4 linked regions of the Drosophila melanogaster genome follow. The gene in region 4 interacts genetically with the main gene of each other region. Each region holds a gene or a part of one and is shown on either strand. Other genes may lie near its edges. The genes, in order: pb, Ser, Caf1-105 and eyg.

Region 1 (6,670 bases), on a different chromosome or scaffold from region 4:
TATACAGGGTGTATAAGATTGGACCCAGTACACTGCCTTGCGGCACTCCAGCTTCGATTGCGCAATCGCGTGAAGTGCTTGTATCGCATCTTATTGCAAACACTCTGTTATATAGGTATGACTTCAGTAGCTTATGTGTGTTTTGGGGCAACAGCTTGATTATTTTAAACAAAAGTCCATCGAGCCACACTCTGTCAAATGCCTGCGCGACGTCTAGAAAAATGGCTGTGCAGTATTCTCGATGTTCAAAAGCAGTACGAATTTCTGACGTGATTCGGTTGACCTGTTCGATGGTTCCATGTTTTTCTCTAAAGCCAAATTGATGTGTTGGAAGTGTGTTGTTTATTCTAAGATGAGGGCTAATCCGAAGGAGTAGCATTTTTTCAAACAGCTTTGAAAGACATGTTAGTAAGCTTATCGGTCTATATGATGATGGCTGCGTTTTATCTTTTCCTGGCTTTGGAATCATTACTATGGTCGACTTTTTCCATTTTTGAGGGAAGTATCCAAGCTTGGCGATTGCGTTGAACAACAGGCAGATGTGAAGAATAGCACACTTTGGGAGTTCAATGAGCATTCTTGGAGTTATTAGGTCGTAGCCAGGCGATTTTCTTGGGTTCAGTTGCTCTTTGATAACCTTTGCTAGTTCACATGGTCGGAATTCAAAGGGTTCTTGAGGATCTAGATTGGCTGCTATTAAAGGAGGGAGAATAAATGTGTTGGTAGAGGGATTTGGTCGGAATACATTTTGTAAATGGTCAGCGAAAGCACTGGCTCTTTCTTCATCACTTCGAAACCAGGTGCCAGAGGGACTTCGTAGTGGCATAATTGGCGCTATTGGAGTCTTTAGGTTTCTGTGAGCTCGTGATTAATGAGAGTTTCGCATTTCACCAGCCAGTACACGGCAAGAAAAAATGGCCGGGACAAGAGAACCCAATTGATTCCGGTCTAAACTGATATGGAAAAGTGTCTATAAAAATATCTTACTTTTTATTTGATTGATTCAATAGTTTGAGATGGACTGATGAGATTATCGCCTATTCTTCAGAGAATGGTGTTCAAATTGACATGGTCGATCGCTAAATTAAAAACCTTATGCTTCCCCCAGTGTAATGTGCATGTGGACTTACCCTGATTGTTGTTGTTGCTGCTCTTGCGGGATGTCTTCTTCTCCTTCATCCAGGGATACTCCGGCACCGAGTCCATTCCATCCGGCGTTTGAGGGACAACGCCAACCGGATATCCGACTCCGACGCCGACATTGACATTAACGTTGACGCCTACTCCGCCAATGGCGCCGGATCCAACAGGTGTTCCGATTTTGGGACTCTCCGGACTCAAGTGGTTGAGGAATTCAGCCATCGACGGCTGCGAATTGATGAACCCGCCCTCGGATGCTGTCATCCAATAGGCCGTGTCCGCGCTCCGTTTATCACAGTTCGGGGTCATCTTGTTGACCATGAGCACCGACGGCACAGGTGGCACCCCCTGCTGTCCGATACCAGGCTGACCAACACTCACTCCCACGCCACCCACACCACCCACGACGCCCGCACCACCGCAACCACCCACTGGCAGGGACGTCTGTCCAGTTTGCACCTGCAGCGGGTTGAGTGGAGATTCCGATTTGATTTGGGTGCCCATTGAGGTCGTGTCCAAGGAGCTGCAGACTTCTTGCATAGCTTGGGTATAATTTTTTTTAGATTCTTTCTATTTCAATTCCTGAGCGTATTAGATGTTCCTCAGCTTGGGAACCTGGAAAGGAAAGCCATTTTTGTAATCTCATAATAATGTTATCACGATTCAGTTCCCAGGAAGTTAGAGGTTTCACTGTTCTTATCGAATGTGAAATTGAATAATGTATGTATATACTTCATTAAGATATGTTATCATTATCTTCATTAACCTTTTAAGAAACAAAGACATCGTCACTTTACTATGCTATTCAATGTTTATTTTATTATTATATTTATAATTTTTGAATTTTTATTTATATATTTTGAATATATATAATTTCAATATAATGTACGTATATACTTCATTAAGATATGTCATTATCTTCATTAACATTTTAAGAAACAAAAACATCGTCACTTTACTATGCTAATCAATGTTTATTTTATTATTACCGATCCAATTTTTCACATTGCAACTGTCAAAAACTTGACTATTTTTAAATTACATATTCCAATTTATATTTCATTAGTCTCTCAGTTTTCTGTGCCAGAAATTCATTTGTAGTCTGCATTTTTACTATTGCTCTTATAGAAATTGTTAGGCCTTCACTTTAAATTTATGGCCACCTAATTTCGATTGAGATTTGACAATATGTATTGTATGTATGTACAATACATACAACCTGTCCTACAATGTTACCTAAATTGGCTTGGTTCGCATACATTATTTTACATTATTTTTTTAAGGATTAATAGTCAGTAAATAAATTAACATATTTTAAACAGAAAAAGTTATAAAGCTGTTACATATCCTCATCTAAGAAATGCCGCATAGCTAATTTCCTAGGAAGTATAAATGAATAAGAAAATTCGAATATATTTTCCGATTCCGCCAATTAAAGATTTGAAATATTTCTTGCAGTAAACATTTTGCCGACTTAAAAGGCTCGTATTTTAGACTAACATGTTGTATCAAAAACGAAATAACGACACGCTTTGATTTTCTCGTGCTTTAAAAGGATACACTTATTTTTAAATGTAGGTAAGAAATATGTGTAAGATAATTTCGTACCATATTAAGTTGATCATTTACAGACCACAGTATTCCATATTTCTCCTCTTACGTTGACATATGCGTTCTTTGTGGAAATTTCACCGGTATCACTTGGGTCACCGTTTTCACTATTGTCTGCACTCGCTCATAGTAACTGGCTTAACTTTTTGTTTGTTTTTTTTTTTTAGTTTCAACCGGCACAACTTTTGCGATGCGGGTTTTGCGTAAAACTTCAGTGTGTCAGGGCTTATCTGTGGGCCGCGAAAAGAGGCGACAACCGCGACGAGAGCGAGGGAACCCAGATCCGAATGTAAATATGGCCACCGTTGTGTTTGCTCAACCGTCAAGTGGTGTTTGGAGTTGGTTTTTCGCTTTCAGGTTGACATAGACACACACCTTTTGGCAGCCATGGCGACGCGAAAGGCCAACACAACCGACGAAACAACGGCGATAACGACAATAGTGCAAGTACGCGCTGTACAACGGTGCGTATGCGGAATGTGTTGATTTTGTAGAGTTTTGTAGAGTCGCTGCGATCGCTGCAATGGCCACACACAGACACACACTCAGTCGTTGCAATTCGTCTGAGATAGTTTTCTCCACTCGCACTCATACACATGTGGGCACTAGCTGTCCCTCTCTGGCCTTCAAGAGGTGCGCAGAACCGGGTTTCCAGGGGTTCCTAAAGTGCTTCTCAACCGTATAGTAAAACTTTTGGTTTCAACTCGTTTTAATAATATCACTTTTTAGTTTTCAAAATTTTTGAACTATTTTTGTAGCTGTCATTTTAATAAATATTATTTTTTAGATACCGAACCGATTCGTAGCGAGAGCGAGACAGAGGGCTTTTGGGGAGCTTCGTGCGGTTCCCGAGAGCTAGATAGCAGCCAACAACCATTCCATCCAATAGCACCGAACGCACTGAACTGGGATTTTGGGACCCAGTATCAAGGAGTGGCCTAAGCGACAGCCACCGCATCCATCACGCTTTTTCCTGGTCGGCACATGCGCGGTGCCATCTGGAAACTGGTTACTATAGCCATTACGCGCAGAGACCAGGGGGTGGAGTTCACACACACCGGCGCACAAGTCTCCGGCCCTCTGATTGGCCGGCTCGGCAGTTTGTTTTGTATCTTTGCGGTCGTGTAGCTCGGGAACCCCTGTATCTTGGGCCATCATTTCCGCGGCGTTTTCTTGCCTCATTCACTTTTTTCCACTTCCAACGCGAACGTGTTGCTTGTGACGGAATTTATTTGGTTTTTCTTATTTACACATTTCGCATCTGCTAAAAAATGAAAAGAAAAAGCCACAGTAGCGAGTTTCTCGCTCTCCGGCTTTTTTGGCTTTCGGCTATGGGTATTTTTGACATTTTGCTTCGCTCATCGCTCTTTTTGTTTTGGGCGCCTCTTCTCCTGTCAATCTTGGTGGCATTGCTTTTTGCCTTTTGGCCGCTTTTTCGCCCTCTTTTTGCTAACGTTCTCCAATCCAGTCCGCGCAGAGTTTGTAATTATGTGCGGATTTTAATGCACACGGGTGTCACTACAGGTGTAAAAATATTGCCACGATTTTGCACTGCAGCTGGGGGTGGTGTTCGTACTTGGACGCTCTGACGAACAAGTTGTCTGACAGCAGGGAGCTATGTGATCGGCAGTCTACGTAATGACGATGCGCACCATGAGATTGTTTAAAATTGTGAAAAAGATATATGTGTGAAAAATACAGAAACTTTGAGGAAGCATTAAGTAAAATAAAAAGCCAAGGCCATTCATTATAAATATCATATAAATAAATGTTTTAACAAGTCAAGCTTATTTAGTTTCTCAACTGTATCGCCCACTAAAATGGAATTTTGTCTAAAAATATTTGATTTGTCTGGTGGTGAAATTTTTGAAAATCGAGTCCGCAAAATGTATCCCCAAATGCTGCACAACCAGCATTTTTTGTTTGAACAAATAAATGCGCACATTAATTATAAAACATATTTTATTTCATCCAAAATAAGTAATAATAATGTAGTCACAGAAAGATATTGCTCGTATAATACAATGATTATATATGTATGTATGTACAGTTGCCTAAACATATAGTCAAAGATATATTTAAAAGTTCAACAAATTTTGAATAAAGTCATAGTCAACATCCAAAATATCCGACGATGAAGCAGAAGAGCTATTCGAGTCCCAGCAGAAATTCTGTATCATTGGCTGATCCTGTGTATTGTGTTCAATTACATTTTCTGCGATAGGAATCGTTGGCTCAAGGCCCAGCCATGAACTCGCCCAGTTAGCATCGAATTCATTGAAGGGCAGTTGGGGAAGAGCCATGGGCTCAGGAGAAAATTCATGGAGGTAATCGTAGCTCTGATAGGGTGGTGTAATTTGACCCTCCTCCAGGACACCGTGATCAACCTGCCGGAGTGGAGCTGTTTCCACATTTGTGTTGGCATATCGAAGGAGACGCTCTACGATCTGGTCGTCCTTTTGAAGATCTTCGCTCGACTGGGAAGAAAGTGGAATAGATGTGGTCAGCGCTCCAATGGCACCCTTCCTATTGGTCGACTTCTTGAGTTTCATGCGACGATTTTGGAACCAGATCTTAACCTGTCTCTCTGTGAGTGCCAAACGCTGTGATATCTCGATTCGCCTGGTTCGGGCTAAATATTTGTTGAGATGGAACTCCCTTTCTAGTTCGATTAGCTGAAGACTGCTGAATGCCGTGCGAGATCTCTTTGATTTCTCCGAAGACCTTGTTGTTGCCGTGGGAGCGGCTTCTACGTTTAACTCGACGCAAGGATACATCTATAAATATATAGATCAATTAAATCTTAGTTTTTATTTAAATAAGCAGTAATTTTTTAAATCCCACCATTAAATCACTGACTGAGTAATTGTCCACAAAATAGTTTTCGCTTTGAATGGCAAACATTTTTCTTGAAGAGCGCGATTTGTTGGCTTCTGACCGCTGTGGCCGATGTTTTTTAACTAGATACCTTTAGATTCTCCTTATTTGCTTATATACCCCAGAAGCCCTTCGTGACGGATCGGATTGGTTCCTACCTGTCCCGCCTGCGACACTTTCAAATTCCCAGACGGCTGGTCTGGGCTGGTAGATGTCGCGTCCTTTTGAGCCTGGCTCCGAATCAAGGTGAGTTCCAGGCTCCAGAGAAACCGACGTACTTCTAAGTAGCGTCACACGGAGAAATATTATTCAGGGGATATTAATGTTACGTCTGGATCTATTTGTTTTATTTATATGATATTATTTAGTTCGTCAAATAAATACTTGCAAAAAATCAAATGTAATATATTTTAAGATCTGAAACATTTTGTGATGAAAACATTAAAATACATCTCCATTTTCAAGGCACCTAAACGTTAACTCTTAGATAAAAATTATTTTAATTTTAAATCAACTTTAGGCCTACGAGATAGCTTATAGATAAATAATATTTCAGTATTGAGAAATATTTCCATTCTTATCCAAATAAAAACTGACTATCATTTGAAAATAAGTGTGTTCTAAGTTCACTTTGTCATCCAAAATATCCACTGATAGTCCTACCTACCTATATACCTACGGATCTGCCCAGCTTTTTTCATGCCTTCGAGACCCCAATCCCCCGGCCAGGTATGTTTTGGCCATGAACGGGAAAGGTCTTGGTTTTTCCCGGGGTTTTCCGCGTCAGTTATGAATATCTAAGGGTTGAGCTACCTGCTTAGCATTGCTAAGCGATCCGACCCTGATCCCTGATTGTAAAAACAGTGTCACTTCAAGCTAATCCAATCGCCCGCTATAAAATCGGTCATATCCCCCGAGCTACGTGCTATATAGCACAGATTTACGATCGCCCGGGCTTATGTAAACTAAAACTAGGTTTTCTGGGAGGGAATAGCATAAGTCCACCCAAAAACAAATCTCTCAGACGAGATTGTAGCCCCGA
Region 2 (6,907 bases), on a different chromosome or scaffold from region 4:
CTGCACAATGCTGTGTTCTCAGCCCCTATAGAACCACATTACTTTCCTAAAAAGTAGAGCAATAATATCATTTTTATAAGATCTGTAGTTAAACTATACCAAGTTTAACTGTAAGCAGTATTAACATAAATAATACTTAAGGCGCAACGGATTCTAAAAGCCAATTTCATAATCTCGTTATCTTCATATTCTAATATTGAAAAGTTATATTATCCTAACTTAGCTTAAGATCTATAATTTTTAATGATGCTATTTCATTTAGCCAAGATAATACTATGGGCTGCAACCCTTAGTTTTACACAAGCTTCTTAGTGCAATAACCATTTAAATTAATAAGATCAGATTATTTTCCTTAAGTTCAGCGACCCCTCTTTTGTATAGAATTTGTAGTTTATACACCATTTAGCTAAACAGTGTGAAATACTATTAGCTAACACTCACAGATCTTTAAAGTAAATACCGCAATGGTTTTCGGGAAAAGTGCTGCCCCCTTTGAGCTCAGTTCCAATTCCCATTCTTTTTCCAATTTCTTTGGCTCGAGTATTCTCTGAAGTGTCCGTAACTTTACGCTAAAAATATTGCCCATAAATCTCCTGACCCGGCTGTGTGCCAATAAAAGCCTTCGTAAACAACTAACCTAAGGCAATGATTCTCCGGACGAAGGGCGGCCACTATGTGGCAACCACTAAACCACCAGAAACCACTAACCGCAAACAGCCACCACAACGGCAGCAGGAGGAGTGAAAAATTAAAAAAGAAAAACGAGGAGGCGGAAAAAACACTTGAAAAATCTGTCATAAAATGTTGAGTGGTGTAAAACCAACTGGTTGAAATTGCCAACATATTTGCCTGTTTGTTTAATGAACTCGCCCAACGAGGGTTTTTTTGGTTTGAGGGGGTGAACCTTTGTCAAGAGGGTGGGTTTAACATTTTGATTACTCAATATGTTTGATTTTATGGATTTATGCCACCGCTCTGGTCCACTTTTGCAGCTGTTACATGTGACAGTAAAACCAAAAAACACAAAAACACTTGGCCGGAAAACGAAAGCTAATCCCAAAAAAGAAATGCCATCAAACCCGAACAAGTGTCCAACAAGCCGCCAACACAGAGTGCCCCCAAATTATGAGAGACGCGCACAAAGACACCTGTAAGTCGTTGTCTGCTATTAGTTGAAATCAAAACGAAAACAATGTAAGCCACAGTGAGCAAAAATAATATCTCTGGGGAGCACCAGCTCGAAGTCTCTGGAGGCTGATGGCTGAAGGCTGTAGTCTGCTGGCCACCAACGCAAAGCTGGTCGTCGCCTTTTAGCCAATTTTGATATAACTGAAAGCGTCAATTATACGTGAAATTTATGATGCCGTGTGAAGAATAACACCAACTTGCAACATATTTGGACAACGAAGCCGTTGCCATTGCCGCTGGCAGTTGCCTTTGCCGTTGCCGTCTCGGTGGCCCGTACAATTGCCGCTCTGGGGTCTCTTGTCGCAGATATGTAAGCTGATAATGGGCATTGTAGTGCAGTTTTTCTTCCATTTCTTCTGTTTTTTTTTTCTTCTTTTTTTTTAAGCGAGAAAAGATGACAAAGGAGCTGGGAGACCGCTGCCCAGTACGCCCACCAAATAGAGGAGGATGGAGACCCAAATGGCCAGGGAGACGGCTAGAGAAGACATTTTGGGCACACACCAAGTCAATTTGTTTTATCTATTGTCGAACAAGAGTCATGTCACAACGGCACAATGAGATTTACTATGTGTTGTTGCAGTTGTTGAGGCAGCAGCAGTTGTTGCTGCTGCTGTTGTTGCTGTGGTGGGCAGACAATGGAAAATCAGCAACATGATTCGATATTTAGATATGCGCCTCAAGAAATATGAGCCGCTAACAACAACAGTAAGGTAGGCAGCAGCAACAACAAAGATGCTGCCGCCTGTCTTGTTGGCCGCATGTAATTGCCAAGTTTGTTGCTTAAGTCTTTTGTTTTGGCTGCACTGATAGGCCAGTTGCATTTAAATTTGATTTATACACTTTTGGCCAGCAGATAATTGGATGGAAGTCGCCGCTCTGTCTGTGTGGTTAATAATTGGCCGATGCTAGTATCTTTCGATTTGGTTCCCAGCCGTTAAAGATTGTGGGAGCGTTCCTTCATATTAGGTGTTAATTGCCAGTCCCTTGGAGCTACTAGATCTGGAGCACACACACACATACACACACAGCCCCAGAATGCACTTATTGGCATAATTAAGTTGGAATCGTAAAAAACGGCAGCCGAGAGCCTCGGGCGCGCATGCGTGCAGCAGCCGAAGCGGCAGCAACTCCATTAACTGCCGATTCTGATTCAGATTCCGGGCCCCGGGGCTATATACAGTCGTACGACCAATCAGCGGCTGGCTAAAGAGCACTGCACGAAGAGCAAACTGGTTTTCTTCAAAGAGAAGCACAGAGAGAATCGCTGCGAGTTAAGCTCTCGGGATCGACGGCAACTTGTGCCCAGAGGCAATCAGTCGTTAGTCGAAGCCTGAAGCGCACGCAGCACTCAGCGGAAGTCGTCGCCAGTTTATTTTGAAAGCGGTTTCGGTGGTTCAGACCGAGCCACAGTTCTCTTAAGACTGCAGATCACCACCACCACCACCACCACCAGCAGCAGCAGCGACAGCTCACCTCACCACCTTTACCACCACCAAAACCGCAGCTCTCTCGCGTGACTTGCTCCGCCCCGTGAATGGATGCTGCTCGAGGGCTGGAAATGCCGCAGGATTCGGTTAACGCGTTTAGTCGAGCGCCGTGCTTCGAGCGGTGATGAGCCCCTTTTCTGTCAACGGTAAAACCCCTCCTCGAATTGGATTATTGTGCACCCAAACTGAACGCCACCGACCATCATCCATATAACAATTGTGAAAGTGTTTAATGTGCCGCAATCGAATTAAATTGCTTGCTGATTACAACAAATGATGAAGAGCAATCAACTACAAATGCTCGGTGGAAGAAAAGCAAATCGAAAGATCGACAATCAGCCGACATTTTGCTATGTGTGTGTTTCCATAGTGTGTGATTAATTTCTGAGCCCAGATCGTGTGAGCTAAGGAAAACGGAAATACCTTTCAATTAAATACAATACATTAATATATCAAAATACAATGCCGTCAAAATTGTGTTTAATCAAAGGCGAAAAGTAAAAGTGCAAACAATGTGAATATGCGAAAACGAGTGCCCCATTCCGGGGGAATCGCTGGCCACAGTGTGCTCCATTGATAACGCACACAGGGACGCAAAACAGGGACACAAACACACGAAGCTACAACTACGAAGTGGAATTGAAACATGCCAAGTGAAAGGGAGAAAGAATGAAAACATCCGACTAGTTCATAATGCACGCAGATAATACAAATAATAATAATAATGGGCGCACATAGAGAAATTTCCACTAGAACTTAATAAGTGGGATTCCCAAACAACCTATTGAAAGTATTTGACTTTCTAAAAGCGATGCTTAACACGGATTTTTTTTTCTAAATTTAAAGAATTTTGAATTGAATAACAAATGTTTTATTAGAAAGTTAAAGAACTTTCCGTATAGATGAAGTAGTGTAGTTTTCTTCTGTGCACCGGGAGAAAAGAGAGATTGTGAAATCAGTTTGGTTCTGAATGGGTGGTACGAGCATGGGAAAGCCCCTGATCAAGAGAGCGCGGAAAATGCTCGATGCACTGCTCAATGATTTACCATATGCAACGAATAACGGATCTAGCACGGTCCAAAGCTTATTCAGATCGTTAAGTTCAAGACGGTGATCTGGTTGCACAATTATTTGATAAATCAGAGTATATCCAGAAGTTACTAGAAATAGAAATGGATACACGGTATACTAAAGTTTTGAGGCCGCTAGAAGTTCATTCATCGTTTTGCAAATTGCCAAGAGAGAAGAGTGAAAGTAGCGGTATTAGGGGGTATTAAGGGGGAGGTAGCTGCATCATCCACTTGCAAAAGCCACTTCCGGTCATGCCCTGCAGCAGCAGCAACATCCACATCAGCGGCAGCAGCAGCAGCAGCATGAGCAAGAGCGGCAGCATCTGGGTTTCGATTCAAAGTCAACGACTTCCGTTCCGTGCCAAAGCCGGGAGGAGGCCCCAAGCAAATTACTTAATTAAATGGACAATTAACACCCGAGCAGGAGGAACCGGGGCGGGCTGGGGGGCTAAAGGCCATGGGAGGATAGGATGGCCGGAATGGCAAAAGCAGCGGCAGGGTGGGAAGAATGAGTAATGTGAGCAAGAGTGAAAATATCTGTAAATTAATATGCGCACAAGATGCAAATTGTTTGTGGCCAAAGACACGGCTCCATAGTCGCAGCAGCAGCAACTGCAGAAGCAGCCACATCAGCAGCGGCAGTAACAGCGTTAAATTAACATAAATTGAATTGCATTTGCATTTGCTGCACGTTGCCGCTTTTTGCGGTCTGGCAAAAGTAAATGTTGCTGCGGTGGCTGGTGGCACTTGTTGCGGCTTGCTGCGGTTGCCGCTACTGCAACTGCAACTGCAGCAGCAGCAGCATCATCTGCGTGTCAATTAGCGTTGATGATGCACAGTGAAATAGATTTTGCGCAGCCCGTTTCAATTCCAATTCGTTCGACAATTGTTACAGCTAAAGATCTACAAAACATCAGCGCCTATCAAGTGGAAGTGTCAAGTGTGAACAAAACAAAAACGAGAGAAGCACATACTAAGGTCCATATAAATAATAAATAATAATTGTGTGTGATAACAACATTATCCAAACAAAACCAAACAAAACGAAGGCAAAGTGGAGAAAATGATACAGCATCCAGAGTACGGCCAGTTATTCAGCTATCCAGAGCAAGTGTAGTGTGGCAAAATAGAAACAAACAAAGGCACCAAAATCTGCATACATGGGCTAATTAAGGCTGCCCAGCGAATTTACATTTGTGTGGTGCCAATCCAGAGTGAATCCGAAACAAACTCCATCTAGATCGCCAACCAGCATCACGCTCGCAAACGCCCCCAGAATGTACAAAATGTTTAGGAAACATTTTCGGCGAAAACCAGCTACGTCGTCGTCGTTGGAGTCAACAATAGAATCAGCAGACAGCCTGGGAATGTCCAAGAAGACGGCGACAAAAAGGCAGCGTCCGAGGCATCGGGTACCCAAAATCGCGACCCTGCCATCGACGATCCGCGATTGTCGATCATTAAAGTCTGCCTGCAACTTAATTGCTTTAATTTTAATACTGTTAGTCCATAAGGTAAGCAAACCAACCAACATGCAAAAAACGATCGAATCCCCAAAGCAATAATCGCAAAAAGCCCCAGATCCAAATACATGCGGGTGTAGTGTCTCGTCAAAAAGGCCAAAAGAAAACAGACAAAGTTGATTCAACCCATGCGAATTGGCAATGGCTGAGGGCAAAGTTTTGATGGGGGACGTAAATAATGATGATTTTTGGGTTTATTTTTTTGAGTGATTTATCAACTCCGCATCCCGAAGAGCTGTCTTTAATGAGAGCTCTTACGCTGGAATTTTCTCAAAGCAGTAAATCAAGCATATGTCAATAAACAAGATTCGTAGAACGCGTTAAAAAAACAGAAATCATTTACAGTCTTAAGTTATTTAATAAGATTGAAAATGCTGAGATTAAAATAGAGGATATATTTTCCCTGTTCAATTAATGTATCCATTACGTTTTAAAATATCAACAAATCTACCAGCATTTTGATAACTGCACTTAGTCAAAATATTCCCCAAGTTTTAACCATTAAACTGGCATTTAAATAAAGTCATTCTCGATTTTTAGAAAAAGCCTCTGACTAAGAATTCTGGGCTTAAAACGATCGCATGGATGAGGACCCCTCGAAAAGTGATCCGCCAGATTAGTGGGCAGTTCTATCTACGAGAACCATCTCTACGAAATGGTTCCCACATGGCAACGGTAGTCGAGAATCGGAGGAGCTAGGTGGTTTTCGGGGTGTAGCCGTCATAAAGTGTTACACAAAGTGCCTAAACATGTATTGAGATGCCAGCGGAGATGCCCCGAGCGGCAATTAAAAAGGCAAAGAGTCGGAGAGCCAACGGCAGCCAACGGTTCAGAAATACATAAAAATTAATCGTTGGCCGGAAAGTTATAGGTAGTTTGAAGGAGCGGGGCTGGCGAGGGGTCTTAACAACAATTTGATTAATACGCCAGAGATCTCGAGAGCCAGACATTAGAATCCGAGGAGCATGCGAGTTCGAGTCCCAGTCCCCAGAAGAGCATACCGGGATGTGTCCGACCGTGGGGCAATCAAATTGATTACACACATTTATCTACTTGGTAGAGGGGATTGCATTGATTTAGGGTAAGCGAGGCGATAAAAGTCGCCGGCAGCAAAGATCCACCTTGGTCCCACTGCAACTATTTAGTTGTTAATGAAGTAAATAAAAGTTAAATATTTTGTAGCGACGATTTATGGCCAACTTCCAGGGAAAACCAGGGAAGGAAGGCAGCCATCCAGCCAGTCAACTGGTCAAGCGAATCCGCGATCATATCGCCTCAGTTCACATGGTCCCATGTCAGTTGAAATTAACCCAGTTACTCGGCCAAGTTGGGATGCCAAAAGGCTAAAAAATCCGAAAAGCCGCAGACGATCTCTCTCATTTGAGCTGACATTTATTGATCATAAGCTGCGTATTAAACTGACTGCGAAATATGCATAAAAAGCCCAAAATCAGAAGTGAGTTGGCGAAACGAGCTCCCACGTTGACGAGCTGCAGTTGGCTTTATGGCCAAGATTCGTTTTGCTTCCCTGTTTAAAGCAGGCTTAATTAAAATTTAATTTCACATTAAACATCGTGTGTCGGCTTCATTAAGCGCTCCCATATTCCACCAGTTTACATGTGGCGCCTCGGCACTAATT
Region 3 (6,948 bases), on a different chromosome or scaffold from region 4:
AGCAGAGATCGCAGAACTAAATAACTAATGAAAGCAGCATTCAAGTAATAGCAACATTCGATCATATAGTACAGCATAGTGTTAACCGCATTATATCGAATAAACTTTTTCATATTTTCAATACTAAATGGAATAGAATGGAACGGAAATGGAATCAAACATAATTCATATTTTTCTAAAGCTCATACACCTCTTTGCTCCACACACACCCACATAACTCATAAAATCGCAAGTCGCACCACTACTAAAATTACTTTAATAGCAGTTAAAACATTTATAAGTGAAATCCATAAAGAGCTATAACAACGGTAATGTGAATTACTTCGAATCAAATGTCCAAGGACATTCAGACACACGATTTTTTGTGAGTGGCGAATACCAAACTTTGGGATTTTAAGAGGAGCTGGAGGAAAGACGAGATGGCCAGTGGAACCAAGAGTATAGGTTAGACAAAGTTTAGACATTGTATCTAATCTAATTTGTAGCCTAATTATAAATGCTTTGGTTGTCCCATGCAACAGATCAGATTTGTTTAACTATTTATATACTTACCTATATTAACGTATGTGGAAATATAATTCTCCTCAATTCTTGAGCTCCTTTCCTCTCTCTAATGACCACATGGATGAAGTGTAGCTAATGGCCCATGGAAAATTTTTAAAATGAGTTTGAGGCGAGCCACGGAAGCTAACTAAGCTCGAACATGATGAATGAATTTGAATCGTTGAATTAAAAATTTAAAATAATATATAAAACATAAAAATAATGATATAAAAAACTGAAGTAAACCAAAATGTTTGTATGTAAAAGAAACTCAAAACGTTAGAGATCATCTACAATTTAAATAAATATAAATAAAACCAAGCAAGTTTGTTGTTTCTGAATGAAAAGATAGACCCATCTACTGGGTCCGAAAATACATCACTGGCGACGGCAGTCCACGTAGTGACGAAGCGCGCTAGGACAGATTGCATGGCACGACTTTCAAACAATTTTAAGAATCAGGAGGAAAAGTGGTGAAAAAGTAAAGGGGAAAATTAAAAAATTTGGTGCCACTTATTAGTCACGGAAAAGTAAAAAATCTGTTTTCGTCGCAATTTTGCTTGAAAATATTTAGCTGTCTGGTAATAAATGTCTTTTCACAAAGTCCTTCCAAAAAATACGTCCCCGTGCAAATTCATGGAAACTTAACTTGGGACCAGGTAGAACAACCCTCTTGAAGCATTTTTAATTTGAGGATTTCGTGGTACAGTTGACCAGTACAGTCACATAACTTATCAGATGACTTTTGTCACAGGTAGAAGAATCGTGTATGTTGATATAGGAACTACTGAAACTGTACAAACTGCAAATTACTACTGCATTTTGACTGCAATTTTCGTTTTAAAGATCCCGAAGCCAAAGCAATACAATTACCTCTAAACCTTGTGTTGCGTTTTATTGTGGAATATATTAGGAAGAATTTTGGCTATTTTTTACAATTTTGTATGGGGTATCCCCAAAGATCCCAAAAATCTTAATCTTATGAACATAAATCTGTTAAGTCTAATCTATTGCATTGTCTACTCTAAAAGTTTCTTTTTTGATTTGGGCGTGGATATGGTTCGCAAGGACACGCGACGTGGCGTCTTGTTATTCGGCGTGGATGGCCCCGATTCAGTCGGATTTTTTGGCGTTTCCTCTTGCGTATCCTCGTAGACCAGACGAATGTCCTCAGTTCGCTCGCAGGTGGCCTCGCTGGCCTCTATTACCGCTGGTTTCGTTTCGGTCTTTACAGTCTCCGGCAAGGGTTTTCGAGAATCCTTCTTTGTCGCTGGCAGGGGTGTGATGCTCTCGTCGAGGGGCCAGGCATCCATGGCCTCCTCCATTGGGACCACAGGCGAGTTCACCGGCATTTCGATGAGTACGCGTGGAGTTCTCCTCACTGCAATGGGAGTAGCTTGCTTGGCGGGTTGGCTTTTCGGCGTTAGATTAAATTGGCTGGAGCTGCCAGGAGTTCGTGGCTGGCGACGCACTTGAATTGGTGTTGCGGGTCGGGACTTCTTCTCAGGCGATTCGAACTTATCATCAGAACTGATGATCTCCTTCTCGAACACCGGAATCACTGCAAGTGCCGGCTGTGATGTCTCTGCTGGAGGCACTGCCTCTGTGCTCACCTTGCGCTTGACAGGTGATGCCACTGTTTTCTGCACTTGAGTCGTTTTTGTGTGAGTAACTTCCATTTCGTCTTTGGGCTTGCTCGATTCGCTATTCCCCTTATCCTCGGGCTTACGCGGAGCTCTGCGTATAGCAATCGGCATGGGTGCAGTCGAATTTTTACGGGGCGAACGCCTGATGGCGATGGGAGTGGGTTTCTCCTCTTCGCTAGCTTTTGTTTTGGGACTGTTCGTTTTATTCGAACTGACACTGTGCGTTGATGAATCGTTTTCAGCATCCAACTCGGGTTCCCCTACCTCTGTGATACCTGCTTCGGACGCCCTTCTAATTGTATTTGGTTTCGATTTTTCCTGCAGTGGTTTCCGTGGTTCATCCAACGATACCTTGCGCAGCTTTTGCCTCTTCTTTTTCAACACCGTTGCATTCTCTGAAGATTTTAGAACAACGCTCAGCACTGTTTCCATATCTTCATAGCAGTCGCCCAGCTCGGTTGGCTCGAAGGTAATCAGTGAGCAGTAGCCATCGGTGCTGGACACGATCAGGACGGTGCCGTCGCTCGACCAGGCCAAATCCGTAAGCCTGCTATAGTGAATGTTGGACACAATGGCAAACGGCACCGGCTGCTGGGTGTCGTAGAAAAACACAGCGTTCTTTGTGGCCACAGCATAGATCATGCGGTACGGCAGCGAAATAATCGGAGGATTCTTCTCCGCATTGTACGGTCGCAGACGGTACAGTACCGGAGAGCAGCGAACAGCCACCGCATATTCCTTGGGAAAGGGCAGCACAAAGGCGGGTTTGGACAAATCATGGCGACTAAACCCATAGCTGGTGTTTATGGGTTTCACAACACCATCGTAGTCGGTAATTCCTGACGGCGTTAACAGCAGCTTACCATCGGGTGTGAAGCATAAGCGGCGAAAGAAGGTCTGCAAGGTTCCATCTTGGTACAATCGCATGCTCTTGCCGTGCATCTCGTGGTCCTCTTTTACTGGGAGTACACATTTGCTGACTCGGTGCAGAACTCGCTTGGTATTGGCATCAAATATCCGCATTTGTCTAAAAGAAATTTAACTCCATTCGATTAAAGTTCGAACATTTTGGACTGTACTGCTTACCTATCGGTGCTCATGGTGGCGATGTATTGATTGCAGGGATCCCATGCCACGCCCTGTACATAGCCCTTGTGGTCATCTAGAATAGCCAGTGATTTGCCACTGTGCACATCCCAGAGCATCGCTGTGTTATCCACGGATCCGCTGACCAGAAACTGTGAGTTCGGCGCCCAGCTGAGATCGTAGATATCCTCGCGATGGCCGCGCAGTACCTTGAGAGTCAACCAGACCTCCTTGTCCTGTTCACTGCAGCCATCGGCGTCCACAATGTTGACAACTTCGTGGTCGGCCTTCTGTTTCCATATAAAGACAACACTCTCGTCATCGCCGGATGCCAGCAGTTCTCCGTTCGGTGACCAGCGGACAGCGTTGACGGCACGCTGATGCCGGGACAGGTCGGCGGCCAGCTCCACATCCACGCCCTCGGCGTCATCACTTCGGTTAACATACCAAATGAGGACATGGGCATCCGAACCACCAGAGGCTAGGCGGCATATCGTCGGAGAACGCAGCCCCAGGCCATTTTGCTGTATATCCACACTCAGGACAGGATCGCGGTTGTGCCACGAAATCTCGGGTATCTTGCACTTCATCCTGTTTACTTAATGTGCCGCTGTTGATTAGTTGAAGTGCGAAGAGAAAAATCACTTTATGCGGCAGAATTCGCGCCTAAAAGTGTGACCTTCGGTCACGGGAATACCAAATAGTGCTGTTTTCGATTTCTGTTATCGTTAATGGACCGATTGCATATCGAAACGAGGGCTGCACAATCACTTTTAAAATGGTAAACAAAAGTTGGAATATCTGATTTCTTACAGTTTTAACCGATTTTGTTGTGTTGTTTGCAGTCTGTAACGCTGCACACCGACGTGGGTGACCTCAAAATAGAGCTCTTCTGCGATGCCTGCCCCAAGGCCTGCGAAAATTTCCTCGCCCTGTGTGCGAGCGACTATTACAGCGGCTGCGTCTTCATCCGAAACATCAAGGGATTTATTGTCCAAACTGGAGATCCTACGAACACCGGAAAGAATGGACAGTCCATTTGGGGCCAGAAGTTCGACGACGAATTCAAGGAGACCATTAAGGTGAGCCGGCTACCTAGGTTTTACCAGAAAAACCCTCATTCAGTTGCGCCATGACAGCTGGCTTTAATACCCAGCATTCCGGCTTTAAAGGGTATATTGTATCTAATCTTAGAATGTAACCAGCACATGAATCTCAAAATGTATGTTGACATCCATATCATTTTACATTTTAATATGTCATGTGGTTGGGTTCGTTTTTCAGTCTAAAAGATTCCCAAGATACAAGAAGAAATCCTTTAATTCTTGACCACTTAATTCTTCAGCACACTGATCGAGGAATGGTTTCCATGGCCAACAACGGACCGAACGCCAATGCCAGCCAGTTCTTCATTACCTATGCCGCCCAGCCAAATCTTGACTTGAAGTACACGCTCTTTGGCCGTGTGATCGATGGATTCGATGCCCTGGATGAACTGGAGAAACTGCCCGTCAATCCCAAGAACTATCGTCCCCATGTGGACAAGAAGATCAATGGAGTAACTATACATGCCAATCCTTTGGCGACGTGATAGAGATAGAGACAAAGGCCAATCGTACGCTTAAAATGAAATATATTTATAGCACTTAAGGTTACGCGATTTCTTCGATTACAGACTAATTGATTGAGAAACATCAAATATTGTGCAAAAGTATCTAAAGACTAAATCTTAAAACCAGCCAAGTCACAATTGTTTATAAAAAATTGCATTGTTTATGTATAACTCTCACGACGACTTTTGCACTTCATTTCGAACTAGACGGATGTATCAGATGTGTTTAAAACGACCAACTAGGGGGGTAAAAACAAATGCTAACAAGAATCTCGACTACATGGACTAAACGGGATTATGTGGATTTGCCGTTTGTGAGTGATTTGGCGGGCTTCGGATGGTCCTTCATGTGCTGCTCGAACATGCTGCGAATGTCTGACAGAGCCTGCGATATGTTCTGAGCGAAGCGGTGCACATCCTGTAAAGAAAACAATTCGATTAGCTGTGCTCCATGCCATGAATCAGGGCTCCTCATTACCGTTTGCTGGCACGTAGTCTTCGCTGAGATATGGAAGAATATCAGGTTCTCTCCGGCAATAATGTACGACACACCGTAACCATCATCGGCCACGGGCCCAAAGCCGCCTCCAGCGCTGATGCAGTTCGGATGCTTCTTCAGGTCCATCTTGGGCGTCTGGCCGTGCGGAGTCTGACTAGTAGAGAGGCGCCAGGGTTCGCTGAGCACCTCGTTGAGGAAGGGTGAATCCACCTCCAGGTACTTGGAGACCACATACAGGCAGAACAGATGCCTGTCGATGCCACGACCGCACATGGCATCCTGGTAGCCCAACTGGTGACGATCGCAGGCAGCCTGCATCATCTTCACACGCTCATCGTTCTGTACAGCATGGATATATGGATTAGCCTTTGATCTAATTACATAAAATTGTAAAATCTTACGGTTGTATTTGGGTTCTGCATGGCCTTGACCCAGGCGGATGACTCAATGGTGCACGGACGCACTGTCTCAGTTCTTCCTTCGCGGAACAGACGGGTCATTGAAGCCTCATATGTCAACGAGAAGCGACCGGCATCTCGGTAGTAGGCCAACTGCAGGGCCATTTGTATGTAGGCATCTGGTGAGATGCGGCACTTCTTCATAAAGCCCTTGCCGTAATCCTGGTGCACCAGGATGCGCAGATTGACCTCGTTGATAAGCTTCGTCACATCGATGGTGGCCTCTTCGATCTGCGCCAGGCATGGTTTAAGATCCCAAGTGAGCCTAGTGGGCGTGGGTGGCTGGAACGCCGGGGTGCCCTTTGTATTACCCGTTTCGTCATATCTACAGGGTTACCAAGGGAATAGGTTAGCATTGTGGGGAGACGGTTTGTGGGCAAATTTATGGCAAGCAACGTAAATCAAAGTATTGTTAATTTTGTGTAATTGTTGTTAGTCACGAAAACAAAATAAACTAAATGTTTACTTTTGGGTTGATTACAATTTGTAAATACAGTAAATAAAGACAGTAAGGAAAGTAAGGAAAAACAACTGAAATGGCCAACATAAGCTTATATAAAATATGCTGCGTACTGATCAAACTATTCCTCATGTAATAAATTAATAATCCCTTAAAACGTGTCTGGCATTCGCATACTAGATTTTGTATGTTTCAAGTTCGTTATGCTAGTATTTACTGTATGGCGAGATCATTAAAGCTTTTAGCGCCTAGTGATCTCTCGTACTCAACCCAAAAATGACTTGAATAACTTTGCTTTGTGCTTGTGTGCATTGTAGTTAAGTGTTTACCCATAAATATCATCACCAAATATATACTCCCACAGGTGTCCCAAAACCGGTGCATCGGCCCTATAAAAAAAGTGTAGATGGTGTAAATAAATTGTTAGGCCACAACCGGAGTTAATAAAAATAATAATAATTTTTGATTGGGACAATGGGTGATAGGTGATGATAACTAAACGCAGCCAACCGAAACCGAAAAATTGCAGGCGGTATAGGAATCGAAAATCATTACCCGTCCGATACAAGATCATCGACGATCAGGTTCTCCCACATGTGTGACGCGATGGCAGCGTCGGACCTTTTGGATTGTAATTTTACAAA
Region 4 (9,660 bases):
TATTAATCATATTTCTATTTAATGAAATTTTTATCTGTGTACTTCGAGTCCGTCGGTGGAGCCTTGGTAAAGTTCATCGATTTCCGCCAACCCAAGACAATAAAAACTGCTCATACCCAACAGCGGGCAACAAAGATTTGGCAACAAAGTTGCAGGACAATCTGCAGGATCCTCGTGGCCCATCAAGTGGCCAACTGATCAGCTCGTCGAGGTTGCTGGATATACGAGCTTGAGATGCTGCATCGTAAAAATGTTTGACTGCGCGATTATATGGCGCTCATGAGAGCGCCACTTTGCCCTGGTCCATCAAACCAAGGCATCCTCCAGCGAATCCCTTGGAGCCGAAAATCACGTTGATGGAATCCCCAGGCCGTCAAATCAAAGTTAAGTACACTAAACGAAATCACTGAATGAGCGCGAACCCAAAAGGCAAATAAAAGCCGAATATACATATATTGTATGTATATATGTATATATATAGCACAGACGTGGCGCAGACTGTATAAATATCGTATAATGTATAATTTATGGGCCCGAGGTGAAAATATTTTCAATAGAAGGTGATTTAAATTTATTAAAGGAATGCTCACGAGCAGAGCTCCGCACTAAATTAGAATAAGTCGATTGGTGGTATGGCGATGGAGATGGGGCTGGGCCATTTGCTCATAAAAGCCCAAGCAAATTGAATTTGTGGACACCCGATGACCATTCCCGAGCCCAAAATTCTCAAATCCCCCAATACCCCCTAGTCCACAACTTCCAATCCCGATCCCGATTCCGTTCGGAGCTGTAAGTATCGACACGAATGGTGCTCCACGCTCTTTCGCTTATCAGATGCGAGGAGCTCATTTAAATCTCGGCCAGGCCAGAAATAAAGACGCGCATCCACCCGGTTAACCAACCTACAAAAGTCAACGATCCAAACCGATCCCATTCCAACCGATCGGATCGGATCCAATCCAAGCCTGCAAGCTCGCCTTTTGTTAACACCATAATTTACATTGATTTATGTGCTTAGTTGGTTCGGCATTTTTAATCGGTCCCCATACGATACCATATGATACCAAACCATACCATCCATTCTCATCTCCTCGTCGCGTTTAGTCTGTCCCCACTGTGTTTGTGCGCGCGGCTTCATTTGGTTATAATTAAAATGTCGATGTTATCAGCCAGATTTGGACATATTGGCCATTACGTTCGAAATTTAAGCGTTTTCTATGCGCGTATTTTGGATTTGGATTTTTTTTTTTTTTTTTTTTTTTTTTGATTTCGATTTCGTTTGGCTTTTTGTTCTGTCTTCGTTCGGTGTATTAATATTTAATAACGTTTTAAGAAGCTTTCGAGTGTTGTTAAATGCTTATTTATGCTTTTCGGCCGTGTTTGGTGTGTTTGTTTGTTGCCCAGTGTGTTTGAATGGATAATTATGCGTGAAATCGAACGTATAAATTGTATTTGTTGTCAAACCAAAGCGAGTCTATACAAACCGATTTCCTGGTCATATATTTCTGTTTGTTTATTGCCGAAAGAAAGTAAACGATTCTTCATTATTTCTTGCACTTTTTATTGGTTTCTCACTCAGCGGTTGACCATTTTAGTTTTTTTCTTTTATTTGAGCCAAAAACACTTAGTCTACGCACTAAATATCAGTTCAAACGCAACCAACTCAAGAATCAAATCCTTAAACAATACGCATTCATAAATAGATTTGGCTTAGGACTATTTTAAAGTTTAAAGTTACATATAGTTAGATATTGCATATGCTATAGCCTTAAATGGTGATGAGGTAAGTCGGCAGCCGGCGAATGAACAAGTATTATAGTATAATTATGCATAACTATAGGGTATACAATGGGCATGTGCATTTCAAGTGGGACAAGCGTGTTCGTATCGGGTATTAGTTACAATTTCAGCTAATCTTAAGCCGCCCATTATGTTGTTGCTGCTGCTTTCTGCTACATTTTTCTGTTTACTTTTTTCTATTTTTATTTAGTTTTTTTTTTCTTTTTTCTAGCGACCCCGAACCGCAGCCAAGTAGGTGAGCAGCATTTTAACTTTGGTTTTTCGATTTGTTTGCCCACTGTGTGTGTAGTCGCTTCTCGTATTTCAGTCCACCAGTTGCAATTTCAAATGCAATTGCAATTGCATCAGTAGTTGCTGTTGCTTTTGCTGCTTTTGTTTTTGTTGCCACTGTCAATCACAGAGGCGCGCACAACTCAGGTTTTCAATTAGACTTTGCCGCCGCCCATCTAGACCAGGTGGCCCTTGTCGCCCATGTCGCCCATCTAGCGGTCATGCTTTAGGAATTGCAACGTGGCCGGCGCATCGGAGGATGACAGGCGAGCCACCTTTGCCGCCGTTGCCGCCGACGACTCAATTTCACCATCGGAATCGTCGTGCACGTTGATCTCCTCATCCGAGTCCGATGACGAGTTGTCCACCGTCATGGTTGAGCCGCCAGATTGAGTGGTGTTGGTATTGGGTCCCGTGCCCTCACCACCGCTCCCCAAACCACCTGCGGAGTAGTGCAATCTGGAGCGCTGCTCCTCGGCGACCGTTAATGATGCAGCCACGGCATATTGCCTGGCCAATCCCAGGAAGGCAGCCGCCGAGGGCGAGCTCACCAGACTCCTGAAGGCACTACGCTCCCCGCCCATGGAGAGGTGATTCGCCGCCGGATTGCATCCACTGGGTGAGAGTTGCTGTTGTTGTTGATGATGTTGCTGCTGCTGCTGCTGATGCTGCTGCTGTTGTTGCTGTTGCTGCTGCTGGTGGTAGTGGCTGAGCAGCTGGAGGGCAGCTGGATGCGTGGGTAGGTGCAGAGGATGATGGTGATGGTGGCCGCCCGGAGGACCATGCAGTGGGTGTAACAGCACCGAAGGTGGCGGACCCTGTGGCGAGTGGTCACCGCACAGGGGCAACGGCTGCTGAGGTGGCGGCACGGGAGCCACTGGAGCGGAGGTGGAGGCACTGCTGTGGTTACTGGGCGTGGGCGAACTGGCCGGTGCATCGTTCGACTGCTGCGAGTGCAGCGGATTGGCGGGACTGGAGCGCTGACGCTTCAGGAGATTCATGCGTTGGTGGCGACGCCATTTAGCCCGGCGATTGGAGAACCACACCTGGAAAGGGTAGAAATAAATGATATTTAATAAAGATTAGTTATTTGAGGTTTTGGTTAATTGGCTTTGAAAGAGGTAACTCTAATTTCTGATATAAAAGTATTGATTTACTCATTAATTTAAATCAAATGGTATGTAACTACTTTACTAGCCACTTTTAATCTTGCTTTTTGAAAGTTTTGAGTGAAGCCTTTGTTTTCACCTGACTCACCTGAACTCTTGCCTCGCTCAAGCTGGTGCGACTGGACAACCGCTCCCTGGTGCTCACACAAGGATAATGACTCTTGTCGAACTCCTTCTCCAGCTCCTCCAACTGCTCCGGACTGAAGGTGGTCCGATTCCGCCTGAACTTGGGCTCATCATCGTCATCCAGATAATCGGAGTCTATGTGCCGGTTCTCATCCGCTGATTCCAAGGTATCATGGCTGCCAGAGCCAGGGGAGATGGCCCGATTGGTTGGTGTGCCACCTGCTCCGCCGGCCATCAAGTGCGCCGAACTGAGGGAGCCACAAGTGGAGACGGGCACAGCGCTCGCTGCACTCGGAGGCAGATTGGCGAGCGTGGGAGCGGCAACGGACCACAGGGCGGATGGAGGTGGCGGTGGTGGTACCCCCTGGCCGCCGGGCACATTGCCGGCCGGATGCCAGGTGAAGCTACCGTACGGATGAGGGGGTGGCGGGTACAGGCCATAGGCGGCGGTGCGAGCAAACTCGGTGGCCACCCGCTCGGCGGCTCGATTGCGCAGGATGCGATTGATGCTGCTCACCGATGGAGCGGTGGCATTAGTGCAGACACCTGCAAGGCGGGATTACGCAATTACCGAGCAGTCGAAGATCGAGATCAAAAGCTAAAAGCGACCGCCGATCAATCAGCGTTCAATCTGCGTCCGCGGATTAGCTGCAATTATGTGGAACACTCACCCTCCGAAATCAGGCGTTCTCGTATCTCCCAGGCGAAGATCGTTGGATTCTCGCGCTTGTACTGTTCGATCTTGGAGACGACCGTCGGCGTGGCCACCTTGGGCTTTGAGCCACCAATTAAGCCCGGTGGTCGCAGCGAGCCTGCAAGAATCAGAGCACAATTCCAGTTAAATTATGAGACAATGGATTTATGACTTTGCCAGCCTGGTTTTGGCAATCCATCTGTTTTTGGCTGGCAGCAAGGATTAACCCTGGTTGCTAATATCTTTATCTGCTCGTTTCATCAACATGTGATGTATGGAAAATATGAATGGGAAAACAATACAAGCCTTGGCAAATACACTGGTAGAAACCAGAGCAGCTCAAGAATTGGAAAACTTAAAAATGAGTGATTTTAACTACTTAAAGTTACTGTAATGACGGGTTTAAAAGACTTAAAAAATTCTAAACATGGAATAAATGTGATCACATATCCTTATTTGGAATTAAGCATTTTTTTCTTTCAGTGCACGGCAGCACGCACCAACCAACACTACCACCAAGGAATACCCGCTCGTGAATAAGCCGCATTTTGATTAATGAGCCAGCCGCGTTTTGGCCACCGCCAGTCAGGAGTTTATGCAATTTTAAGTGGCCAAATTACACGGCTGCGCACACGAGGGATACGCCACGCAGGGGATGGTAGGGGCAACTCGCAGGATAATAACATGTTTATCATAAAAATTAGCAAACAAATCGAAAACAAAGTACCCATTAGTTATCTGATGAGGGAAGGAACTGAGAAACTGAGCGGTCGTCCCTTTCAAGGGCTCACAACTCACCTAGCAACTTGGAGACAGCTCCCTGCTGGGTTAGCATGTGCTGGGCAATGTCATAGCCACGCAGTCCACCGAAACGTGAGAATTCCAGGAGGCGATGCTGTGACATCAGGGTGTTCAATGTGCTCCCCGTGGGTCCACCTGCACCGTGCGGAATGCCGCCAGTGGAGCCGCCGCCGCCAAAGCCGGGTGGTATTTGCACAGATGTGGGTGATGTGGATGTGGCCCCTCCGCCACCGGCTACCGCTCCCGATCCCGCTCCGGCCGCCGCTGCTGCCGCTGCCGCTGCTGCTGCTGCTGCTGCTGCCACGGATGCCGCCGCTACTGCAATTGAATGATAATTGGGTATTGTTATTTTATTGTGGCTTTAGCTGTCGCGGCCACAATGGTTAATTATGATAAATTAAGCGTTAATTGTGTTGACCGAACCGAAATGACTGATGGGTCCTACGAATATATTAGCGTTTCTATTACCCCAGCAAATGTCTAAGCTGATCGAATGGCCAAAATGGTGGCGACACGCAATCGAATCTTCCAGGCACGAGCAGATTTATCAAGCTAATTGATACGACAATGATCTCTTAGTACAAAAGGCGAAAATTAAAATATGTACTCAGCTGGATACGAAAAGAAAGCAAAAAACAAGTAGAAAAACAACTGTGTATTACGTTAATTCGACAGAATATTATATTTGCCTTCGCTTAAAAAACCTACATATATCATTCGGCTTGGGCAACTCGTCGCTCAAATTGTCAATTAGCGTTTTAAATGCGCGTTTCACTTTTGTTGTTTGTCAAGTAAATATTTTTAAAAAAATACGCGCACCTCCAGTCGTGCCTAACTGAATATACATATATGTAAGTATATGGGCCCATAATCAATTGTGCCGCCCATCAAATGAGAACCAGTTTTGTTTATTTCGGTCTATTTAAAGGTGAAAAGCAAGGAAATGGGACTGTCAAATGAGCCACGCAATTGGTAATGTGACATGCGTAACGATTTGTGTTTGTTTTAACTGAAGATTTAAGTTGGAATAACATAAAACATTTGTTATGAACATACTAAGTACGAACATGACAAATTTTAATCGCTTTCTTATAAATGGCCCACATTGTTTAAACTAGAAATATTATAAAGGATCACACTTATTTTATCTTCTGTTTAAGAAAATAAAAAGGCACTCAAAGTTAGTTTTACATAGACCTTTGTATGATCAATTTGATAATTTACATAATTTATCTACCATATACCATTTAAATAAAAAATTGTTTGTTTTACAGCGAAAAGTTAACACCAACTATATTCAAACTAAATGGATCTGGTTAAGAATTACACATAAACACATTTGACCCAGTTTGATACTTTATTTAATACTTTAACCGAAACACCGTTTTAACACACTAATTTAAACGATGCTTAGTTATTAGTTATACATAATTTCAATAATAGATTTTAGGTTTTATCGCGAAAGAACTAATTTGTTTAAATTAAAATTCGAACATTCCGGATTTGCTATCGAATGACATATTACACCTTTGACCCAGTTTCGGATTTATTTTTTGAAGATTTGTGTATATTTTCTTAAAATCCCCAAGCCTGGCTTTGCCGTCGGCAAGACTTCACATGGGCACTTTGGGGCACTTACCACTGGAAGCGTGAGGGGCCAGCGATGTGATGCGTTGGGGATGGGGCTCCATTTTCCAGTGCGCGGCCGAGAGGCCAGAATTAGCGACAGTAAGCGAGCCAAGGTCACGGTTTAAAGTCGGCTCAATCAACATGTCTAAGAATCGCTCTTTCCAATTCTCTTTATTATTTATTGTTATTTTATATTTGTTTATTTTATTAATTTTATTTGGGTATAACACAATCACAGTCACAAGTGTCGCACATCCAAGGCAGAGGTATCGATTATAGCGAATGCAACCGGAAACGGAAATGGAAACGCAATGCGGTCAATTGGATTCATAGCGTGCTGCTCACTCACACACTCGCATACACACGCACACAGATACACACACAGTGACAAATGCACGACAGTCGATCCCGACAGAAACAGTTAGAAAACGCTCCTGCGTATCTCTTGCTCTTATTTTTATTATAGAATTTGTTTTTATCGAATTTCTTGCGAACACTGCGCTCCGTTGAAACGTTGTTCACGCGAAAGCTGCTCTCAGCACAATGAGCGCTTGAATTTCACCTGGTCACCCGGGTCACTCCGCTCCACTCGAACAGTTTCACTCCGCTTTTGAGTGCTTTTCGAAACGCCAACCGGTTTACGAGTACCGTACTTTCATAATGGCGCCCGTTGAGGCAAACTCTTGCTCTCTCGCTCTTCTGCGCGAGAGCGGGACAACCACATGCACACTATGCGCGCACACAAATCAAACAATTATAAACTCGTTGTTGGTAAAGTGCTGAGTATAAACAGTGGCAAGAAGAAGAAGAAGAAGCAGACGAATGAAGAGCAGTGAGTGTGAGAGAGAGCGAACGCTTTGGGGAAGTGACAAGAAGAAGAACCAGAATAAGAAGAGAAAGAGGAGTTGGGGAACCCTTTAATTTTAACTACAAATGTAGTTGGGATACCATAGCACGTTTGAAGTCAACCTTTAGGTGCATTTCTCGCCTAATGTAATATTCTAATTGATTGAATTAACCGTACAGCTTAAATTGTACCATTTAGGAACATTTAGTTCGTAATCTTTACTGTTGAGTAATGCATTCAATTTATCGTTACTTTAAGCCAGAGACCATGGCCCCAATAAGTAGGCACTTTCAAATACCAACTCTTGATTATCATATCGATCTGTGTACAAATGAGCTACATTTACAAAAGTTCATGCATATGTATAATCTCTAACAATTAAGGCTAAAGACTGAAAAGAAGTTTGGCTTTTTGCTTACACTTCTAAAATAAATAATAATAATAAAATATTTTATTTCGAAATTATTAAAATAGCTGTAATATTGTATCAATAAAATGGCAGTATGGTATGTTTGTTTTACTTTTTATTTGATTCTACTCAGGAGAAAGACAAAAAAATATATATAAATAATTGGTAAATAATACCTCAGCAAAATATAAACATTAGCATTATAATAAAACAGAAAAGCATTAAATTGCTTCCTTTTTGTGGACTTCATAACTACTATTCCGCTTTTAAACTGACCAATTGCAATTAAAACTCGATTTTTAAACATAAACTTATTAAAAGAAGATTTAAGCCTGAAAGTCCTTTTTAAACAAACTAAATCGTTTATTGCATTGAAAGATAACATAAAATGATCGCTAAATAACAATAACTAAAATGCCTGCAATTTAAAAGAGCTTAGTAGCATATAGCCATTTGAAAGGAATTTTAATCCGGTCAAATGTGCAGTGAAGTGGCCAAATTGCATCCATTGCGATCCAGAGTGAACCTTGGACACGTATAAATCGCATGCGTGGCATGGGCCGTTTGCCATTCAGGTTTGCACTGCCCGTTTTGGGTCGTTGTCTCCCGGCCTTTGGTGCGTGATGGATGATTGATGTGCTGCCTGGGCAAGGCAATCCGATGTGAATCGAAACTGCAACTAAACTACACATGGCGTGATCGGGGAGCCACACAGATCACAGCTCGCAGCTCGCAACTCTCAGAACAGAACGGGGCAGAAACGGGCTACACCAAGTGGCAGAGTGGCCTGCACAGAAGCCAAATTGCATCAAAGCCCACGGATTGAGTGGCTCCCGGCGATGCAGGATTCGAATTGGAAGCTGAAAGATGAAAGCTGAAAGCTGAGAGTCGAGTTAAAAAGCAATTACCTGAAATGATTCCCCAATGGAATGAGATGGGATGAGATCAGTTGGGATGGGATGGGATCGGGTGGAAAGAGGAGCGAGTGCAGAAATCTGGATGCGAAACGATATGGTTCAGCAGAATCACCTGGCGATAATGAGATGTCTCACTAAGCTGATCAGAACTGCCTTTGTATTTATTTGTCTGTTCGAATGCAAAGTGCACAATGCACCGAACACTCGTGCATATATGTTTCTTCGATTTGTGAAAGGCGAATCATGAATGAAACGCTGCTGACGATGACGTTCGAGTGCCCTCATGCCAGAGATCCAGAGCAAACGCAAACAATCGAACAGGAATAATTTACTAAGTAAATAATATCTGGATACCGATCGCTGCACGGTAAGAAATTGCGTAAACCGGTGACCCATATTGCTCAGCAACCAAAGAAACCTTTCAGCACTGAGATATTTTTCATTCCATTGTTTTCTGGGATAATTTAAAGTAACAGAATTATCTTCTTACAACATTTTTTTGTCTTAACTTGACAGTAAGAGTTCTTAATTAAAGTCTGAAATTTTTAAAAATATTTTTTACGATTTTTTTTTACTAGTTTACTCAAGATCTATAGCAATATTTAAAGAGTTGAATCAATGGTCTCTATGGAATAGTGTTATATATGGTATATACATATTTCGTAACCATTTGATCCCAATTTTGGCCAGTGTAATCCCCGCGAGTAGCGTGCGCCCTCGCCCCATCAAGTGGCACTTCAACAATCAAGCATTCACACAAGCAGATGGTCCGCAGCCGTTGGCGACCACCTAAATGAAATTTCATTTAGTTTTTTTTCGCCCGTCATCGCCGCCGCAATCGCAACCCGCTCCTCGAGATCTCCCCATCCATCGCAGTCCATCCAATCCATCCGTCCAGCGCAGAGTTCCAGCCCCAATCCCAATCCCAATTCCAATCCCAATACGGTCTCCTATTTGCTTATGCACACATTATCAACGTACGCCCGCCTTATGGAGTG

Evidence for each region.
Region 1: of eyg (region 4) and pb, changing one enhances a phenotype caused by changing the other (phenotypic enhancement), as found in Drosophila melanogaster (one study listed by BioGRID).
Region 2: of eyg (region 4) and Ser, changing one suppresses a phenotype caused by changing the other (phenotypic suppression), as found in Drosophila melanogaster (one study listed by BioGRID).
Region 3: of eyg (region 4) and Caf1-105, changing one enhances a phenotype caused by changing the other (phenotypic enhancement), as found in Drosophila melanogaster (one study listed by BioGRID).

The regions. Positions count from the first base shown.
Region 1 is NT_033777.3:6,738,420-6,745,089, forward strand, and holds the start of pb (proboscipedia), read right to left. Parts: upstream 3,645-6,670; 5' UTR 2,749-3,644; intron 1,756-2,748; 5' UTR 1,681-1,755; coding exon 1,131-1,680; intron 1-1,130. Other genes in the region: zen2 (zerknullt-related), read right to left, coding at 4,830-5,528, 5,596-5,655. UniProt on the Drosophila melanogaster protein: Sequence-specific transcription factor which is part of a developmental regulatory system that provides cells with specific positional identities on the anterior-posterior axis. Controls development of mouthparts, and labial and maxillary palps.
Region 2 is NT_033777.3:27,189,858-27,196,764, reverse strand, and holds the start of Ser (serrate), read left to right. Parts: upstream 1-2,497; 5' UTR 2,498-2,821; intron 2,822-4,640; 5' UTR 4,641-5,022; coding exon 5,023-5,259; intron 5,260-6,907.
Region 3 is NT_033778.4:10,464,581-10,471,528, forward strand, and holds Caf1-105 (chromatin assembly factor 1, p105 subunit), read right to left. Parts: upstream 3,961-6,948; 5' UTR 3,866-3,960; coding exon 3,276-3,865; intron 3,217-3,275; coding exon 1,563-3,216; 3' UTR 1,421-1,562; downstream 1-1,420. Other genes in the region: CG11777 (uncharacterized protein), read left to right, coding at 4,054-4,056, 4,121-4,357, 4,621-4,866; whd (withered), read right to left, coding at 5,183-5,305, 5,366-5,725, 5,788-6,169, 6,860-6,925.
Region 4 is NT_037436.4:12,460,987-12,470,646, forward strand, and holds eyg (eyegone), read right to left. Parts: upstream 7,036-9,660; 5' UTR 6,633-7,035; coding exon 6,500-6,632; intron 5,179-6,499; coding exon 4,858-5,178; intron 4,178-4,857; coding exon 4,037-4,177; intron 3,912-4,036; coding exon 3,328-3,911; intron 3,117-3,327; coding exon 2,283-3,116; 3' UTR 1,551-2,282; downstream 1-1,550. Other genes in the region: CG32102 (uncharacterized protein), read right to left, coding at 8,171-8,437.